Linked DNA regions of Saccharomyces cerevisiae S288C. The gene in region 1 interacts genetically with each later gene. Each region holds a gene or a part of one and is shown on either strand. Other genes may lie near its edges. The genes, in order: MMS1, HSL1, RRM3 and RAD27.

Region 1 (6,633 bases):
ACATGTCTTACCACAGGCACCATCACCAACGATTACCAGCTTTCTTCTGATACTGTTACCAACTTGTTGTGACATCTTTCTAGTATAATTTTTAAAGTTCTATGATTTTCTATTAGTGCAACAATAAACCTCTAACAGCGATTCTTTTGTTTTATTAATTTTGTTCCTTTTTTGAGTTTTGTAACTTTAAGTTTGGGTTGTTCCAAAAATGTTTTTGCAATACTCAGAGGAATGATCGATGGTCGAAACGATATTAAAGACGAATTCCTGCTGGTAAAATAAATATATACGATTAGGATAAAGAAGTATTTGTATCAACTACTAAAACATGTAGTACCCAATACAAATCAAACAAAAATTGTATAATCTGTTTATTTTTTTTTCTGAGGCGAAGCAAATTGGAAACAACAAGAATTCTTGTATCTTTTTTTAGCCCCTTGTCACGCTGCACGACGCGTAGCACATTGATCGAGAATCACGATTTTATCAGCGACAATGTTATTGGAAATGAGGGAATTATACTGTGTTCTTGCAGTTATCGCTAAGGTTCCATAACCCAACCTCACAGATGAGGTCAGATTTAACTATTGACCTTCTTGAAACCAAATAGCCAGAATTCCATCTTGGTTCGTATTCGTCCTGGCAAGGCAACCTGTCCTTGCCGAATTTGTGAATTGTTTGATCTGCCATTAGCACATATAAAGTTTGTACTGCGGGATCGTAACTAATATCTTGAATAGGCTTGTCCAATGCTACCGCATTATAGGGAGATAGTCTTTTAGTTCTCATTGCAGTGCTTCCTAATATAGAACTTATATCCTCAAAATAACGGGATGATACATGATCCTCATATACTATAGTGGCGGCTCGGCGTAGTGAAGGTTTTGGTGTAGAAGAGTGGTTTCGCCAAAAGAGTAGTAAATTTCTACGCTGCCTTAGGGCAACCTCTGCTTCGTCATTCTCCGACCGTATGCCTTCGCTGTAACGATTTACGTGCCTCTCACCATGTAAAACATCATACAAAGCCATAGTGCCAAATTGAAATCCTTCAGGAAAGTCAACCTCGAATATGTCGTCGACTCTCCCATTCCCATATTCATCTGGTAGGCTGCCTGTTTCGTTATTAAGCCCAACTTTGATGGTGGGTAAAGAGTAAAAAATTAATCTTGAATCTAAATCGTTCCTATTTCCACAGTAAGCGGCAACAACAAAGCAGCATTCATTTAATGGTATTATCTTTTGAACTTTTGAATCAGGATACATTTCCAAGGGATACACCCTTCTCGATTCGTCAGATGATGAAGAGAAATCCTTAATCAAGTAGAGCTTTTCGCCCATATTTGTGGTAGCAATGATATTATCGCCTACTACAGTAAACGTCTTAACTGTACTCCAACTCTTAAATGTAAACCGGGTTTCCAAAGTGAGCCGCAAAGTCGTATTATTTCTCTCCTCCTGGTCAATGCAATGTTTTGTGACTTTCAACTTGTTAAAGGACATTTCGTTATCGGTGCCCATAACTTTATAATCCAGAAAGAATATTTCACCTCTGGGAGTAATGACCAAATGATTGAGGAGTCTTGAATTGTCAAGTTTATACGAATCTATTATTTGATTGGAAATTTTGTTTTTTGCAGCAGTTAATAAAACTAGTTTTAATGAGCTAGTAAAAGAGATCAATAATACAGTTTTCTTTTCTAAAGGATTGTCCTCTGTTGCTATTGGTAATTCCTTTATTTCTAGGATTTCTTCAGAATCATCCTTAAGAAGTTGAGAATCTAAACCAACTGCCTTACCATCTGATAGTCTAATACACTCCCATTCCCTCAAGTCCTGATTCAATACCAGCATTCGATTTATTTTGTCTAGATATAAAAATTTCTTATTTTTGCTTCTTGTAGATTTTAATAAGAAATTTCCATTATTTGATGTTAGGTATGATAGTTCGAGGATTCTTAAGCCATCAGAGTAGAGTATGAATAATTGGTTGTTTTCTATGTCCGGACAGACTTCAAGAATTGAATTGTTATTACCTAGGTGCGGTAATTTTAGCTTGTAAAAATCCAATTCTCTACTGTCGTGAATTGGCGTTAAATTGATGACAAAAATTTCAAATGCACTAAATGCCAAACATTGATTCACACCAAAGCTTCTAAATTTAATATCTTTCCCTTGAAAATTAACTCTGCTTGTACATCTGGATCCTTTTTTGAAGCAGTTGTTCTGTAAAGTGTGCACCTCAAAATATGATTCATAATCGAGAGAGCAAAAATAAGGGCCGTTTATTAACGCCTGCTGAACACTCAAAATATACACATCAGAAAAATCAAGTGAATCACTAATCCAGTCAGAAAAGGGTGTACGAATGACACAGTCTGGTAAAAGGATCCAAATGTCATACTTGGTTGGATCATCTGTAGACTCTTTGATTTGAAAATTGACACTCGTGACAGTTCCTAACTGCTTGAAGAACTTGCTCATGCCTTTGCTGCTGCTTAAGTTTGAAACTAAGGCGCCAGACTCATCAACAGCGTCTATATTTTCAATATAAGAGACACAGCCAAGCCCAGCATTCCAAACTATTAAAATACCATCATTGTATGTAACGTTTTCGAATTCCCAACCTGGAGAAATCTTACGCAACTCTTTGTCCCCACCAATGGGATCGATGTATATCGTATCCCTAGTTACTTGAATCAAGTTATTTTTCGTAAAATTTAGAAGGATAGTTTCGTTTTCAGTATCACATAGTAAATCTTCTATATTTATCAGTCCTTGAACGGGATCATCATTATCGATTGTCGTTGTCATAGTTAAATCTAATAAAAATATTCTGTTGTTAGAAACAGCGTCGGTCGCAAAAATTAACGAACTTTCGGTATTTGACTGGTTTATTCCAAGTCTCTGTAACAGAGCAATATCAAGGTTCTTACATTTCCATATCCTAAGATGTCTAAAAATTTGAAATTGCTTTAAGTGGATAAGTTGATGAGTTTTCCTGAGTTTATAATCAATGCAAGGTTGAGTTATTGCATTTGGTGAGGTAAGCCAAACTTGAGAATTTCTCGTGTCATTGATGTTAGAGCCTGTGTGTGTGTTATAAAATTTAGAAGACGTAAATGCTAAAATTTGAGAGTTCTCCTCTGTGGAACTATCAATTGTGTGCTTGAAGGTGATATTTTTCAAAGGCTTAATAACGTCTTTTTTATCTAAACATCTCAAATCTTCTAGAGATAATGTTAGCTCTAATGTTCTACTAAAACTTATGACCACCAGTACATAACTTGAGGATCTGGAGTCTAAATTTATCGGATTTGAAGGTAGTGGTGAAATGGATTTCAATCCTTTGAACCTAGTTAGCTCGTAAAATTTTAAATTACCATTTACTATTGTCGATCGTTCGGTGACGCAAAAACAAATATTTCCTGTCGAGGAGGATATTATGGTACAATATTGGAATTTTTTAAATGTATGTGGGTGTAGTTCTTGTAATTTTAATAACAATAAAGGAGCTGGAAAAAATGACTTGATTCCCTTGAGAGCCTTCAATTGGAATGAGTGGAATTCAGTCTCTCCTGACATAATTTGATTTGCAGAAACTAAAGAGAACTTTAGGGGTGTTTCGACTAAACATGCATTTAGTCCAATGGGTATTGTCATATTAGTCTTCTCACCATCAAATACTGTCAATTGATATACCTCTTTTTTCTTTATTTCGTTGTTGTTCCATTCTATGACAAAGTAGACTATCCTTTCATATCTTATGGCTGTTATAAATATAATGAAATAGGGATCTAAATCAGTGTAATTTGTTGGGAAAAAGGATCCGTTCATAATCACGGAATCGGTCAATGTTAAATTGTTTACTAATTGAAAAGTAAATGGTAAATGGAATTCAAAAAATTTGCAAATGCCTAGTTCCTTATGTATAAGAACAAACTGCTTCTCGTTTTGGTGCTTGATTATGTTCCACTGACCTTTTTGTCCCAGGTTCCAATATTGTAGCAAATATGTCTCTTTACCGTCATCAAGCGGTAAAATAGACAATAAGTGACCACTTGGTTGAGTGAGTAATATTAAAATTGCAACGTTGTTGGGTTTTATAGCTATGCTGCCAGATATGCCAGACTGTATGTATGTTATTGAAGTGCTACCTGTTTGAAAGATTCCATTGTTGGATACTATTAAACTGAAATGCTTTTGTTGGATTTCTTCCAGCGCCTGCAATTCAATTTTTGGTTCTTTAACATTACCGCTGTCACTGCTCATTTCTATGTCATCCAATGCTTCTATATCTGAATCATCTAAGGTTTCTGGGTTTTTATCAATGTCAAAAAGACTACCTATTAGTGTGTTATACTTTTGAGGGAAGCCGTCTGACAGTTCAGAACGTTCTTGCAAAATGTATTTTAATACTGGTTTAAAATTTATCGGACTTGAGATTGGATAACAAAATTGAGGCATTTGACCAATATTCGAATCGTGATATCTGAGCATCATCATTGATGGTTCTAGCTTTGGCCCTACACAAGGTCTCACCCAAGTTTCATCCTCGGTATTTTGATAAAAAAGCTCAGGTTCATTCCACTCACGTGTGGTGCTTGAATCAATTAATAAATTGGGGGAAACTCGGAATGACTTATGATTCAACCAATCTTGCAGCTCAAGTTTGCCAAAATCCGACGGGCGACGAATATAATGTTCATACCTGTCTAAACCATGAGTTCGCAAACCTAGCATACCTAATTGACACCGTACTACTTTAATTAGACCCAGAAACGAAACGGAATGTGAAGCGATTTCTTCTCTTCTTCCAATTCTTTTGCAGAGCCCATCTCTGGCAAAGGGCCATTTGTTGGAAATCACTCTAACATGGCTTCTGTTTCCCGATAATATGCGGGTAATGCCTCGCACTTCCTTTGGTTTTGAATTTATGCTATTCTCTTTCTTTGCACATCTAACTTGAAGTGATTAGTACCAGATTGAGCTCAGCTTCTCAAAATTATTTCGAACATATCAATTTAGTTTGTAAGTCATAAAAATCGATATTTTTTGCTTTTTCCTTTTTTCCTAAATCTTCTTGACTGCTTGCAATCTTTGTATCTTCATCTTTCCTTTCTCATGTTTCCAAATTTAGCCTGTATATTCATAGAGACTTCTTAAAGTAAATTTTGGCAGGATAATAGGGTACTGAAATCTATGTTGCTTTTTATATCCTGGCGCTACTTAGCCGCCCAACCTTTTTGTCTTCTTGTCTTTTTTTCTTTTTGGCTTTATTTCTCATCAGATCACGCACCACGGAATGAAAATTTTTTTGCGGAAATCAGCATCGCTAAAGAAAAGCAGAAATAGAAGCAGAAGAGATAGATATAACTACAGAGTTAGAGAAGATCAGTAGACCAATAAGCGGGATTATCATAAAACTCGAGTTTATATTAGCTTTCATCTGTCTTTAGGAAAATAATACCATAATAAAAAGGACACATCATGGCTCCACCAAAGAAAACCGTAAAGAAGATGGACCTTACGTCATTTTTAAATGATGACACCTTTGGTTCATCTTGGGCTGAAGAAGATGTCGATTTGAATAAGATCACAATTCCTATTGAAACCGCTAATGCAAACACTATTCCATTGTCCGAATTGGCTCATGCTAAAAACAACAGCAATAACACGCGTTCAGGCGGCTTTGGTGGCAGTTTTGGAGGTAGATCTAGATTAGACCCTGCTTTGGGGGGCGGTTCTTCCGATAGAAGAGAGGAATACCCTGTTCCAGATGCTCCACCATATAGGGCTGTCATAAACAACATTCCATGGGATATTACCCCAGAGGGTGTTCAAGCCTGGGTTGAAGATGGTTTAGTTAAGCCTGAAGCGGTTGAAGAAGTTGTTTTGCCAAAGAATCTAAGAGACCCAACAAGATTAAAGGGTAATGCTTTCGTTACTTTGAAAGAAAGAGCAGATTTGGTCGCCGTTCTGAAGTTCAACGGTACTAAATTGAATGAGAGAACTGTTTACGTTTCTGTTGCGGCTCCAAGAAGAGGGGGAGGTGCAGATGTTGATTGGAGTAGTGCTAGAGGCTCCAATTTCCAAGGTGATGGAAGAGAAGATGCACCAGATCTTGATTGGGGTGCCGCTAGAGGTTCTAACTTCAGAGGTCCAAGAAGAGAAAGAGAAGAAGTTGATATTGACTGGACTGCTGCAAGAGGTTCCAATTTCCAAGGCTCTTCCAGACCACCAAGAAGAGAAAGAGAAGAAGTTGATATCGACTGGAGCGCTGCAAGAGGCTCCAATTTCCAAGGCTCTTCCAGACCACCAAGAAGAGAAAGAGAAGAGCCAGATATTGACTGGAGTGCAGCTAGAGGCTCTAACTTTCAAAGCTCCTCGAGGCCACCAAGAAGAGAAAGAGAAGAGCCAGATATTGACTGGAGTGCAGCCAGAGGTTCCAACTTCCAAAGCTCCTCAAGACCACCAAGAAGAGAAAGAGAAAAGGAAGAACCAGCTTTGGATTGGGGTGCTGCCAGAGGTGCTCAGTTTGGTAAGCCTCAACAAACCAAAAATACCTACAAGGATAGGTCTCTAACTAACAAAAAGACTACTGATGAGCAACCAAAAATCCAGAAGTCTGTTTAT
Region 2 (6,895 bases), on another chromosome or scaffold:
TTCTTCTTGTAAAGAAGGCGACCACCAATACCTAGGTCTCTGTCTAGCCACAATTCATTCAGTGTACCTCCATAGGGAGCAACAGCAATTCTTCCGTAACCTTCCGCTGTGTCTTTAAAGGAGACGGGCTTCAATTTGACCGTCAAAGCGTCCACATGAGATCCAATGACACCGACACCCTTTTCGGCTCTCCAGTTTTTGCCCAGGATAAAGGCAGATAGGTTAGTTCCATTTCTTATAGTGTAGAATTTCCCACCATCTTCGCCAATGGAGTCCTGCCAATTGGATTTCTCGCTCAAGTATTTGAAGTTATGCTTATCTAACAGCTCCGCGAAAAATGATACTACATGGTAAGTGGTAGGGTTCTTGTAAATGAAATCAATGAATTCCTGTGCAATATCCTCATAATTGTGCTCGAGGATGCACCACGAATTTTCATTTTCTTTCTTTTCCTTTTCTTCGTTGGCGATTTGGTTATTTTTAGATGGCTCTACAGTTAGCATCTGCAGAGTTTTCTTCAATTGTTCCAGTATTTCACGTTGTTCCTCCATTCTTTTTTTCTTAATTTTGTTGGTTGTGCAGGTTTCTACAATTGCACTAAGATTACTGATCAGGCTCTATACAGTGTATGTCTTGTTCTGTGAAGTCAACTGCTTATAAATGAATTTTTATTATCTAATGGAACGATTAAGGGGTGTGTCAACTATTTCACTTAACCCTATTCTTTCTTACTGTCGTTTGCTTGCATAGCCTATCTTACAGTAATAGAGGTGCAAAACAGCATCACCCCTAGTTGTTTTTCCCGAAAAACCTATCCCAGATTATTTTTTTTTTGAATTAGACAAGAAATCATCCGAAGACCTATTATGCTTCTGATTAAACCTTGAGAAAAACGGAAGTTTGCAACCTATACCCTAAAGTAGAAGCTGACTAATTCATATTCCTCACGAAATGGTGCGACCTCTCTTTATCCATGAGAAAAGGAAGGAGTGGGTTCTTGTTTGATGCTTCTTTATCTGATACCAACAAGCGCAAGAGATAAGGGATTACAATGTTATCATGCCTCAGAAAGTAATAGGATGACATTTTCTTGCAAACGTTGACATTAAAAACATAAAGTACCTTACGGCGTTCGGAGCCTACAAGCCTGCCACAATTTGAGCCGCTGCACAAGAGAACACCGAATGAACAACTGGCTGCAGCTGTCGATGAAACCTCAGCGAATAAAGCACACATTTGTGCGTTTTACAATAACAGGGAAGGTGGAATGTGTTGCCTTCGTCCTTATTTTTCGCGTTGTGAAATATTTTTACTAATTTTTCTTTTCGCGTGGTCATTTTCGCGTTGGGTTGTTTGGGCTAAATAGTGAAAACTAATCTCCATCACGTACCGTACCGTCTTGTACCGGCTGGGAGCAGCATTATAGTGGCCACTCTTATTGGCGTTCTTAATATAAGCAAGTTACCTTTTGCTCGAAACCTGTTTCTTCTTAAAACTCCCTTTGGATCGTAAGTTCGCTAGTTATCCGACTGCAAGGACGTAAATTGGACAGCGAGAGGCCATTAAAACAGAGAGTTGAACTCAAATAGATCATCAAATAGGTTGGATATCCATCATACTACTTGCTACTAATCGCGAAAAGAGATAAATAATAAAATTACAAGAAAGACAAGGTAAAAAGAACGACATAGATTTGCGGGACAAAAAATACTGATAAATAAATCAACAACCAACTATATTCACTCCTTTATTATTTGTTATTAATATTTTTTATTTTTACCACACGACATGACTGGTCACGTTTCAAAAACGAGCCACGTACCCAAAGGTCGCCCGTCTTCATTGGCCAAGAAGGCAGCTAAAAGGGCCATGGCCAAAGTAAATTCGAATCCAAAAAGGGCGTCGGGGCATTTGGAGCGTGTTGTACAATCTGTGAACGACGCTACCAAAAGATTATCTCAGCCCGACTCTACCGTAAGTGTTGCTACAAAATCATCAAAGAGAAAATCCAGAGACACGGTGGGTCCTTGGAAACTTGGCAAAACATTGGGGAAGGGATCTTCTGGTAGGGTTCGCTTGGCTAAAAATATGGAAACAGGACAATTAGCTGCCATTAAAATTGTCCCCAAGAAGAAAGCCTTTGTTCATTGTTCTAATAATGGAACTGTTCCTAATTCTTACTCTTCTTCCATGGTCACTTCCAATGTATCTTCTCCATCAATAGCATCTAGAGAACATAGTAACCATTCTCAAACGAACCCATATGGCATAGAGAGAGAAATAGTAATCATGAAATTGATATCTCACACAAACGTTATGGCATTGTTTGAAGTTTGGGAGAACAAATCAGAGCTGTACCTAGTTTTGGAATATGTTGATGGTGGCGAATTATTCGATTATCTGGTCTCGAAGGGAAAGCTACCTGAAAGGGAGGCTATCCATTACTTCAAGCAGATAGTTGAAGGTGTTTCCTATTGTCATTCTTTTAATATATGCCATCGTGATCTGAAGCCTGAAAATTTATTATTAGATAAAAAGAATAGGAGAATCAAAATTGCTGATTTCGGCATGGCAGCATTAGAGCTTCCTAATAAACTTTTAAAAACTTCATGTGGCTCTCCACACTATGCGTCTCCTGAAATTGTTATGGGTAGACCATATCATGGCGGTCCTAGCGATGTCTGGTCCTGCGGTATCGTTTTATTTGCATTACTCACCGGTCATTTACCATTTAATGATGACAACATCAAAAAGCTGTTGTTGAAAGTTCAATCGGGCAAATATCAAATGCCCTCAAATTTATCTTCTGAGGCTCGTGATTTGATATCAAAAATATTGGTAATTGATCCAGAAAAAAGAATTACCACTCAAGAGATATTGAAGCATCCTCTGATCAAAAAATATGATGATCTCCCAGTTAATAAAGTGCTGAGGAAAATGAGAAAGGATAACATGGCGAGGGGAAAATCTAACTCGGATTTGCATTTGCTAAATAATGTCTCGCCCTCTATTGTAACTTTACATTCAAAAGGGGAAATTGATGAATCCATCTTGAGGAGTTTGCAAATTTTGTGGCATGGAGTTTCTCGTGAACTAATCACTGCCAAGTTGCTTCAAAAGCCAATGTCGGAGGAAAAACTATTCTACTCACTGTTATTACAATATAAACAACGTCACTCAATATCATTGTCCTCGTCAAGCGAAAACAAGAAATCAGCAACAGAAAGTAGCGTAAATGAACCTAGGATTGAATACGCATCCAAAACTGCCAATAATACAGGCCTAAGGAGCGAGAACAATGATGTGAAGACTTTACATTCTCTAGAAATTCATTCAGAAGATACTTCAACAGTGAATCAGAACAACGCAATTACAGGGGTTAATACAGAAATTAATGCCCCTGTATTGGCACAAAAATCGCAATTTAGTATCAATACGCTCAGTCAACCTGAAAGTGATAAGGCTGAAGCAGAAGCTGTAACATTACCACCCGCTATTCCCATATTCAATGCTTCTTCATCAAGGATTTTCCGTAACTCATACACCTCTATTTCATCACGTTCGAGAAGATCGCTACGCTTATCGAATTCCAGATTATCATTGTCCGCTTCAACTTCTAGAGAAACTGTGCATGATAATGAGATGCCTCTACCTCAACTGCCGAAGTCGCCTTCAAGATATTCATTGTCAAGAAGGGCAATCCACGCCTCCCCATCTACTAAATCAATACATAAATCACTTTCGAGGAAGAATATAGCTGCAACTGTTGCCGCTAGAAGAACACTACAAAACTCGGCTTCAAAGAGATCCTTATACTCATTACAGTCAATTTCAAAACGTTCCTTGAACCTGAATGATTTATTAGTCTTTGACGATCCTCTCCCTAGTAAGAAACCAGCATCCGAAAATGTGAATAAATCAGAACCCCATTCGTTGGAATCAGACTCTGATTTTGAGATCTTATGCGATCAGATCTTATTTGGAAACGCCTTAGATAGGATACTCGAAGAGGAAGAGGACAATGAAAAAGAACGCGACACCCAAAGACAGAGGCAAAACGATACAAAATCTTCGGCAGACACTTTTACGATCTCTGGGGTGTCTACAAATAAGGAAAATGAGGGCCCGGAGTATCCAACCAAAATTGAGAAAAATCAATTCAATATGTCATATAAACCATCTGAGAATATGTCAGGGCTCTCTTCATTTCCTATCTTTGAAAAAGAAAACACGTTAAGCTCAAGTTATTTGGAAGAACAGAAGCCAAAGAGAGCGGCCCTTTCAGATATCACGAACTCATTCAATAAAATGAATAAACAGGAAGGTATGAGGATAGAAAAAAAGATTCAAAGAGAACAACTTCAAAAAAAAAATGACCGCCCGTCACCACTCAAACCTATTCAGCACCAAGAACTTCGTGTAAATTCTTTGCCTAATGATCAAGGTAAACCGTCCTTATCTCTAGATCCCCGCCGTAACATCTCCCAGCCAGTGAATTCAAAAGTGGAATCACTATTGCAGGGACTGAAATTCAAAAAGGAGCCAGCCTCTCACTGGACCCATGAGAGAGGTTCCTTGTTCATGAGTGAACATGTGGAAGACGAAAAACCAGTCAAAGCCTCAGATGTTTCAATCGAAAGTTCATATGTACCTTTAACAACAGTAGCAACATCTTCGAGAGATCCCAGTGTTTTAGCAGAATCTAGTACAATTCAAAAACCAATGCTGTCTTTACCTTCTAGTTTTTTGAACACATCTATGACGTTCAAAAATCTTAGCCAGATACTCGCTGATGACGGTGATGATAAGCATCTAAGTGTGCCACAGAACCAATCTAGAAGTGTAGCCATGTCACACCCTTTGCGAAAACAATCTGCCAAAATATCTCTAACTCCACGGTCTAATTTGAACGCCAATTTATCCGTTAAACGTAATCAGGGCTCACCTGGCTCCTATTTGAGTAATGATCTGGATGGAATCTCTGATATGACATTTGCGATGGAAATACCAACAAACACCTTTACCGCTCAGGCGATTCAACTGATGAACAACGACACGGACAATAATAAAATCAATACTTCGCCCAAAGCATCTTCTTTTACAAAAGAAAAAGTAATCAAATCGGCAGCCTATATCTCGAAGGAAAAAGAACCAGATAATAGCGATACTAATTATATTCCAGATTATACTATACCAAACACATATGATGAAAAAGCCATTAATATTTTTGAAGATGCGCCCTCCGATGAGGGTTCATTAAATACATCTTCTTCAGAAAGCGATTCACGAGCAAGTGTGCATAGGAAAGCGGTATCTATTGACACTATGGCGACAACAAACGTTCTTACTCCCGCGACAAATGTTAGAGTAAGTCTTTATTGGAATAATAACAGTTCTGGTATACCCAGAGAGACTACTGAAGAGATACTTTCTAAACTTAGATTGTCACCAGAAAATCCTTCTAATACACATATGCAAAAGAGGTTTTCTTCCACGCGTGGTAGTCGTGATAGTAATGCATTAGGCATTTCTCAAAGTTTACAGTCAATGTTCAAAGATTTGGAGGAAGATCAAGATGGGCATACTTCTCAAGCTGATATTCTTGAATCAAGTATGAGCTATTCAAAGCGAAGACCATCTGAGGAAAGCGTTAATCCAAAACAACGAGTGACAATGCTTTTCGATGAGGAGGAGGAAGAATCTAAAAAAGTAGGTGGGGGAAAAATTAAAGAAGAGCATACCAAGCTAGACAATAAAATATCCGAGGAATCTTCTCAACTTGTGTTGCCGGTGGTTGAAAAAAAGGAAAATGCAAATAATACAGAAAATAACTACTCTAAAATACCAAAACCCTCAACGATTAAAGTTACGAAGGATACCGCTATGGAATCAAATACACAAACCCATACAAAAAAGCCAATTCTAAAAAGTGTCCAAAATGTTGAAGTTGAAGAAGCGCCTTCCAGTGATAAAAAGAATTGGTTCGTCAAACTATTTCAAAACTTTTCTTCTCATAATAATGCTACTAAGGCATCCAAGAATCATGTAACGAATATATCATTTGATGATGCGCATATGCTAACATTAAATGAATTCAACAAGAATAGTATCGACTATCAATTAAAGAACCTAGATCACAAATTTGGGAGAAAGGTGGTGGAATACGATTGTAAATTTGTAAAAGGCAACTTCAAATTCAAAATCAAGATTACTAGCACACCCAATGCATCTACGGTAATTACTGTAAAAAAAAGAAGCAAACATTCAAACACAAGTTCCAATAAAGCCTTTGAAAAGTTTAATGATGATGTGGAGAGAGTAATTCGAAATGCCGGACGTTCATAAATTCTATATAGATGTTATATAATTATACAACAATAATTTGAAAAATTTAACGTACGAGAACCGAATGGACAGGCGTGAGAAAACATAGTTTAAAAGAACATTAATAAATGGAGAGACATGAGACACGAAGGAAAGAAAGAGGGTTTTACAAACATTGTCCTAGATTAGAAGATAAATACAACCCTGGAGGGGTAAAAAGAGCTGTCGTTTCTTTTGGAGCTCAAGAAGATTCGTCATCCAAGAGATCTTCTTCAGAAAGCTCTTCCTCAGAGCTGTCACTGAGATCTTCCTCTTGCACGAATTCTTCATCATCGTCAAAATTTTCGTTTACATCATCACCAAGCAAGGCATACTTGTCGGCATCATTATAGTATTCTGATAGGATGAAGGTCGAATAAGTTATAGAGTTCTCCTTTTTTTCTATCGCTTTTTTTAAACTTTTATCCACTTCAATCGTATCATACTGAAAATTCCAAAACTGCTTAAAATCCTTGTTCCAGCAAGCTACCAAAATAGTACTAATCAACAAGGAAGGAACAATGTATAATAA
Region 3 (4,395 bases), on another chromosome or scaffold:
GATAGAGAAAGGCACTTGGTATGCAAGAGACGCAATCGTAGCCACAATCGACTGAGCGCCCAAGGCATCGGTGCCCAGATGGGAAGCGAAAATTGTCAACACTTCAAAGCCGAGGAACTCTGCCTCCACCATCACCACGCCGGGAATAGCTAGGTTAATCATCTTACGCCAGTTCTTAAATGCTTGTTCCTTAGGGATGATACCATTCCAGCATTTGAGTGGTCTCTCCTTGTGCTTGGTGGTCATTGCGTATATTAGTAATCCGAGCGTCATCAACCAGTAGTTGATCACAACCGATAATGGCGCACCAAGGTACCCAATCCCAATCTTGTCATTCCAAACAAGTAAGTAGTTCATCAATGCGTTCAAGGGTGCGCACACAAAGAGCACGATTGTGGATGCATGGAATATACCTTGACATTGTAGGAACCTCTTACCACATTCAAAAAGGATGAATCCTGGCACACCGAATGCGGTTACACGTAGATAGTTAGCCGCTAGCGCGCATAGTTCTCTCTCCGGAATCATTAGTGCTAGGATCTTTTCCGACCAAACAAACCAAACATACATCATTGGCAAGAACGCCAAGATGGTGATCACAGCACATCTCTGCACTAGCACACCCACCAAGTGGTAGTTTTTGGCACCGTATGCCTGCGCACACAGTGTGTCCAGACATGTACACAGACCTTGAATAGCAGCAAGACCCGTGATGTTAGCAGTCATAGAACCGAGTGTAACACCACCTAGCTCTTTCGTCCCTAAATGTGAGACGGAGAAAATAGATGCTAGTGACAACGAATTTTGCAAGATAAAGGTGAAGATTAGCGGCAACGCATTCATCGTGATCACTTGCGTTTCTCTCTTAAAAGTTGTGCTGATTTTCTGACCACTCTCGATCGCGCTCTCCCACGTATTTGCAATCTCAGCTGGTCTTTCTTCCTCGTCCGGTCCAATTGCTTGGCCATGTCCGTGACTTTCTATATCTCCCCCACCGTTGCCGTGTTGAGAGAGCAGTTTGTTGTCTATTAGCAGGTCCCGTTCTTCGTCAAGCAACCGCTTACGGTCGTGAGAGTCATAACCTTGTTGCCACGCTTCTTGTTGCAATGTCCGCGAATTGTTGGCATCTAACAACGAATGGTATTCACCTTCCCTCTCCGTCTCATCGTCATTGCCGGTATAGGAAGGTTCTTCTTCACTACCCTCTTGCTCTTCGCCCTCAATTAAGTTTTCTTCTGACTCCTGTGGGATGTAGTCTGCAGGCGTGAAAAGCCCTGCCTTCCCGACACTGGTGGAGTAGATAATCGATGATCTTCTGTCGTTGGTGGTATGACTAAATTGTTTAGACATAGTCTTCTTTCGTCTTCTTCTTCTATCTTCTTCACCGCTAACACAGACCCTTGACAAATCTGAAAAAGTACTTTTTAAGCCGGTCTATCTTCCCTTACCGGATTTATTTCTTTTGCCAGGGTTCTTTACTATTTTGTAGTTATCATAAATTTTTTTTTTCTTTTTAAGTTGCCGTGCTCTTCTATTTTTTTAGTCTTTTTTTTTTTTATTATTTTTTTTTTTTTCATTTTCCCTATAACGGGGCTAACCCGAATGCGCATGCATTATTCCGATATTATTACGTCAAAGAATATGTAAATAAACATCATCTCGAACAATAAGCAGAGGAGAACAAGCTCAAAAGTCGAGAGATTTGTTCTTATAAGACATCCCGATGTTCAGGTCGCATGCCTCCGGTAACAAGAAGCAATGGTCTAAAAGATCCTCAAATGGTAGCACACCTGCTGCTTCGGCATCTGGCTCTCACGCATACAGGCAACAAACGTTGTCTTCGTTCTTTATGGGTTGCGGCAAAAAATCTGCTGCTGCTTCAAAAAACAGCACGACAATAATTGATTTGGAAAGCGGTGACGAAGGTAACCGTAATATAACAGCACCTCCTAGGCCAAGATTAATACGGAATAATTCGTCTTCCTTATTCTCGCAGAGTCAAGGTTCGTTTGGAGATGATGATCCCGACGCAGAATTCAAAAAATTGGTAGATGTGCCGAGACTCAATAGCTATAAAAAGTCTAGCAGATCGCTGTCGATGACCAGCTCTCTTCATAAGACTGCCTCTGCGTCCACGACTCAGAAAACATACCATTTTGATGAGGATGAGACTTTGCGAGAGGTTACTAGCGTGAAATCCAATTCTAGACAATTATCGTTCACTAGTACAATTAATATTGAAGATTCTAGCATGAAACTTTCTACTGATTCAGAAAGACCAGCCAAGAGGTCTAAACCTTCTATGGAGTTTCAAGGTTTAAAGCTCACAGTACCAAAGAAAATAAAACCACTGCTAAGAAAGACAGTATCAAATATGGACTCAATGAACCACCGAAGTGCGTCTTCGCCAGTGGTACTTACAATGGAGCAAGAGAGAGTGGTTAATTTAATCGTCAAAAAAAGAACAAATGTCTTTTACACCGGTAGTGCGGGTACAGGTAAGTCGGTCATTTTGCAAACGATCATAAGACAATTGAGCTCTTTGTATGGGAAAGAATCAATTGCAATTACCGCCTCAACTGGGCTAGCGGCAGTGACTATTGGTGGTTCCACATTGCATAAGTGGTCTGGTATAGGAATCGGGAACAAAACTATCGACCAATTGGTGAAAAAAATACAATCACAAAAGGACTTATTGGCCGCATGGAGGTATACAAAAGTTTTGATAATTGATGAAATTTCTATGGTCGATGGTAATCTGTTGGATAAATTAGAGCAAATCGCAAGGAGAATTCGGAAGAACGACGATCCCTTTGGTGGTATTCAATTGGTCCTGACAGGCGATTTTTTTCAACTACCACCAGTTGCTAAGAAGGACGAGCATAACGTTGTGAAATTTTGTTTTGAAAGTGAAATGTGGAAACGGTGCATTCAAAAAACGATTTTACTGACAAAGGTTTTCAGACAACAGGATAACAAACTAATTGATATTCTAAATGCCATAAGATACGGAGAGCTGACTGTCGACATTGCTAAAACAATAAGGAACCTAAATAGGGATATAGACTATGCCGATGGAATTGCTCCTACAGAACTGTATGCCACAAGAAGAGAAGTTGAACTATCCAACGTAAAGAAATTACAGTCTCTACCTGGTGATTTATATGAGTTTAAAGCTGTAGATAACGCGCCCGAGAGATACCAAGCGATACTAGATTCTTCATTAATGGTGGAAAAAGTTGTCGCATTGAAGGAAGATGCACAGGTAATGATGTTGAAAAATAAGCCTGATGTAGAATTAGTTAATGGATCATTGGGAAAAGTTTTGTTTTTTGTTACAGAATCGCTGGTGGTGAAAATGAAGGAAATTTACAAGATTGTGGATGACGAAGTTGTCATGGACATGAGATTAGTGAGTCGGGTCATTGGTAATCCCTTGTTAAAGGAATCAAAGGAGTTTCGTCAAGATTTGAATGCCAGGCCATTAGCTAGATTGGAACGTTTGAAAATCTTGATAAACTATGCAGTTAAGATCTCTCCGCATAAGGAAAAATTCCCCTATGTGAGGTGGACAGTGGGTAAAAACAAGTACATACATGAGCTCATGGTCCCAGAGCGCTTTCCCATTGATATTCCCAGAGAAAATGTCGGGTTAGAAAGAACTCAGATTCCATTAATGCTATGCTGGGCACTGTCCATTCATAAGGCACAGGGTCAAACTATTCAAAGACTAAAGGTCGACTTGAGGAGAATTTTCGAAGCCGGCCAAGTTTATGTTGCACTGTCAAGAGCGGTAACTATGGACACCTTACAGGTCCTAAACTTTGATCCAGGAAAGATTCGCACCAATGAAAGAGTAAAAGATTTCTATAAACGTTTAGAAACTTTGAAATGACTTGCAACGAATAAATGCATATACTCTAGTTGAAGTTTTCTTTTCTTGTTCTATACAGGTTCGAATACTTGTGAGCCTATCTGTATAATTTAACAGAATCCCGAAATATTCATCTAGAAGCCATCTATTTAGCTAAGCCTACGTATGCGGCGATTTTTATATTATCTTTTTTTTTTTTTATAGAAGACTGCGAAATGTTGGCAGAATGGAAAGTTTCAGTGTTAAAAATAGAAACTGAAAAAGGAGATCTAGCCAGGAATATATCGAAAAAAAAAGTGAGGGAAATCAGATCCTACACAAATATTTAGATTTAATTGAAGACCCTGGTCTGCCAGATATATATATATATTAGACGAACTGTGCATTCAGTCAGCAAATCTAGGCCACAGATTTTCTTATTGAAGCTATCAAAATAGTAGAAATAATTGAAGGGCGTGTATAACAATTCTGGGAGATGGCTGATAAGATAGAGAGGCATACTTTCAAGGTCTTCAATCAAG
Region 4 (3,477 bases), on another chromosome or scaffold:
ATTTGATCAAACTTTAAATCGTTTTGTAAAATCTTTGGAATCTTAGTTAGGATAAATTTACCCAGTGACAAGTTATCTTCTAGTGGGTGACTATGATAGGGCTCAATTTTGGTAACGACAAATGGGCCCGGTATATCATCGGTAGCAGAATTGAAGACGTCTAAATTCATAGACGTGTCTCGTATGGAGGATGGTGAGTGGGAGGAAATGCCGTGGCTACCGACATTGTTGTTATTGATATTGCTGTTATTGTTGTGATCGTTATTAGTATTATTATCTTGGCCATCATTGTTGTTAGTGGCATCATCGTCTTTTCCATCGTGCTTATTGTTTGATTGAGAATCTACATTTGCGACGGCATTGGCAATGGCAACGTTGATGTCTTCATCGTTCACTACGTCAGAATAGTTTTTCGTCATTTGGGTATGGACGTCATCCTCCTCGTTGTGACGGTGGTTACCGCTGTCATTACCATGAGTAGGACCGCTCTCGTCGTCCAATCCCCGGTCAATAGAGGCCTTATTTATCGAATCATCTTCAGTGTCGTTCTTGATAGTAACACCTTGCTGTTTAAAAATGTTGTTGGCATCAGCATCATCGTCATTGTTCCCATTCACCTCATTGCTTCTCGACTCCACTTTGTCATTGGTGTCGTCCGGATGAGTGTTCGCCAGATGGTATTCAAGATCATCAGTAACGAAGTCAAGTTTACTGTCATTGCTAACCTTATTATTACTGCCATTGTTATTATCATTGTCCTCGTTGTTCATGTTGTTGCTATGATGATGAATATGATCAGGAGTACCCGGAGGGTTGGTATTATTATTTGCAGAAGGAGATGAGGTTTCTGAGGATGCAGCATTGCCAGCATAGCTTAGCAAGACTTTAAATGGACAGTTTTTCAAATGACAGGCAAATGTAAAATGTTTGTTCCTATGCGAATTCTTTAAAATAATAGGGCAACGCGTCTGAAATTCGTACTCATTAATTACATCATACCAAGCACCCAAGGTGGGAAATTTTTTGCCTCCATGGGCTCCAATGGCCAGGTCTTTATTAATTATAGGGTGCTTGTATTCATAATAATTCACGACTAATTTGTCCATCCTTGTGAAATTGCAAATATGGTGATTTGAAACGTTTCCTAGTGCAGCAGGATCACAGATAACGTGTAAAGGGCTTAGCAGTTGATAATCCTCTCTAGTTGAGATCTAAACAAAATGCTGTCACTAACCGTAGTATTAAATGACACACTTTGGTGACTTTCGTTAATGGGGATGTGGTAGTGGCCATTGCCAATAAACAAAAAGAACAGGGAAAGAAGTAGAAAGTGATATAAGTTTGCTTGCCACTTTTCGTTTTTCACGAAAAAAACAGGCGAAAAAAAATGCTAGACTAGTACCCGGCTGAATCACACCTCGTTAACAGTGACTTTCGGTGACAGATACCCGATTGGGCACCCGGCTGGTAAGTTATGATAGAAAGCCAACGCTGTACTATTGGCTTAGCTATGGCAATATTTTGATTATCAACTAGTTTTATTAACGTTATAATTAGTGTAACCAGTTTTTCATCTATTTCATTTATTTCATTTATTTACTTTAATTGCAGATCCCCCTAACGCGTTTAAAGCTTTTATTCACTAGCTTATGTATTTTTTATAGGAAACGCGACGCGTAACATCGCGCAAATGAAGGTTTTGATGTATTATAATGAGGTATTCTTCCTTATATACATCGATGAAAAGCGTTGACAGCATACATTGGAAAGAAATAGGAAACGGACACCGGAAGAAAAAATATGGGTATTAAAGGTTTGAATGCAATTATATCGGAACATGTTCCCTCTGCTATCAGGAAAAGCGATATCAAGAGCTTTTTTGGCAGAAAGGTTGCCATCGATGCCTCTATGTCTCTATATCAGTTTTTAATTGCTGTAAGACAGCAAGACGGTGGGCAGTTGACCAATGAAGCCGGTGAAACAACGTCACACTTGATGGGTATGTTTTATAGGACACTGAGAATGATTGATAACGGTATCAAGCCTTGTTATGTCTTCGACGGCAAACCTCCAGATTTGAAATCTCATGAGTTGACAAAGCGGTCTTCAAGAAGGGTGGAAACAGAAAAAAAACTGGCAGAGGCAACAACAGAATTGGAAAAGATGAAGCAAGAAAGAAGATTGGTGAAGGTCTCAAAAGAGCATAATGAAGAAGCCCAAAAATTACTAGGACTAATGGGAATCCCATATATAATAGCGCCAACGGAAGCTGAGGCTCAATGTGCTGAGTTGGCAAAGAAGGGAAAGGTGTATGCCGCAGCAAGTGAAGATATGGACACACTCTGTTATAGAACACCCTTCTTGTTGAGACATTTGACTTTTTCAGAGGCCAAGAAGGAACCGATTCACGAAATAGATACTGAATTAGTTTTGAGAGGACTCGACTTGACAATAGAGCAGTTTGTTGATCTTTGCATAATGCTTGGTTGTGACTACTGTGAAAGCATCAGAGGTGTTGGTCCAGTGACAGCCTTAAAATTGATAAAAACGCATGGATCCATCGAAAAAATCGTGGAGTTTATTGAATCTGGGGAGTCAAACAACACTAAATGGAAAATCCCAGAAGACTGGCCTTACAAACAAGCAAGAATGCTGTTTCTTGACCCTGAAGTTATAGATGGTAACGAAATAAACTTGAAATGGTCGCCACCAAAGGAGAAGGAACTTATCGAGTATTTATGTGATGATAAGAAATTCAGTGAAGAAAGAGTTAAATCTGGTATATCAAGATTGAAAAAAGGCTTGAAATCTGGCATTCAGGGTAGGTTAGATGGGTTCTTCCAAGTGGTGCCTAAGACAAAGGAACAGCTGGCTGCTGCGGCGAAAAGAGCACAAGAAAATAAAAAATTGAACAAAAATAAGAATAAAGTCACAAAGGGAAGAAGATGAGGGGGTTCTTTTTCCACTTTCTTCTTTTGGTCCTTCACCTTGGCATATATGTAACATAGATATTTGTATACACGAACTTTTTTCATCTAATACTTCTCTTTTTTTGCCAGTTTTTCTGGGAACTTGAACGTGGAATTTTTCATTCTTACCTGGTTTCTTTTTCTTCATTTCTTTACATGTTGGAAATCATTGTAAATATAAGATGACAAACTCCGAATAAGAAACACAAAACGCAACATTAATAAGCTTTTGGCATATCGGAACCATCGTAATGCCTTCGACACCTAGCTTTGTTAGATCTGCTGTCTCGAAATACAAATTTGGTGCGCACATGTCAGGTGCCGGTGGAATTTCTAATAGTGTAACTAATGCATTTAACACTGGCTGTAATTCGTTTGCCATGTTTTTAAAATCTCCAAGAAAGTGGGTTTCTCCGCAGTATACACAGGAGGAAATAGATAAATTTAAGAAAAACTGTGCAACTTACAATTATAACCCATTGACGGACGTCTTACCGCATGGCCAATA

The links.
Region 2: mutations in MMS1 (region 1) and HSL1 together harm fitness more than expected from each alone (negative genetic interaction), as found in Saccharomyces cerevisiae (5 studies listed by BioGRID).
Region 3: mutations in MMS1 (region 1) and RRM3 together harm fitness more than expected from each alone (negative genetic interaction), as found in Saccharomyces cerevisiae (6 studies listed by BioGRID, with this or other methods).
Region 4: mutations in MMS1 (region 1) and RAD27 together harm fitness more than expected from each alone (negative genetic interaction), as found in Saccharomyces cerevisiae (4 studies listed by BioGRID, with this or other methods).

What each region holds. Positions count from the first base shown.
Region 1 is NC_001148.4:868,810-875,442, reverse strand, and holds MMS1 (Mms1p), read right to left. Parts: upstream 4,741-6,633; coding exon 517-4,740; downstream 1-516. Other genes in the region: Rho family GTPase RHO1, read right to left, coding at 1-75; TIF3 (Tif3p), read left to right, coding at 5,488-6,633. UniProt on the Saccharomyces cerevisiae protein: Component of multiple cullin-RING-based E3 ubiquitin-protein ligase complexes (CRLs), which mediate the ubiquitination of target proteins. The CRL associates with CDC34 as the E2 ubiquitin-conjugating enzyme.
Region 2 is NC_001143.9:247,132-254,026, forward strand, and holds HSL1 (protein kinase HSL1), read left to right. Parts: upstream 1-1,788; coding exon 1,789-6,345; downstream 6,346-6,895. Other genes in the region: metalloaminopeptidase APE1, read right to left, coding at 1-551; YKL102C (uncharacterized protein), read right to left, coding at 931-1,236; YPF1 (aspartic endopeptidase), read right to left, coding at 6,566-6,895.
Region 3 is NC_001140.6:170,299-174,693, reverse strand, and holds RRM3 (DNA helicase), read left to right. Parts: upstream 1-1,723; coding exon 1,724-3,895; downstream 3,896-4,395. Other genes in the region: ERC1 (Erc1p), read right to left, coding at 1-1,350; mitogen-activated serine/threonine-protein kinase SLT2, read left to right, coding at 4,350-4,395. UniProt on the Saccharomyces cerevisiae protein: 5' to 3' DNA replicative helicase recruited to paused replisomes to promote fork progression throughout nonhistone protein-DNA complexes, naturally occurring impediments that are encountered in each S phase where replication forks pauses.
Region 4 is NC_001143.9:224,199-227,675, reverse strand, and holds RAD27 (multifunctional nuclease RAD27), read left to right. Parts: upstream 1-1,800; coding exon 1,801-2,949; downstream 2,950-3,477. Other genes in the region: DNA-binding protein ABF1, read right to left, coding at 1-1,106; DNA-(apurinic or apyrimidinic site) lyase APN1, read left to right, coding at 3,221-3,477. UniProt on the Saccharomyces cerevisiae protein: Structure-specific nuclease with 5'-flap endonuclease and 5'-3' exonuclease activities involved in DNA replication and repair.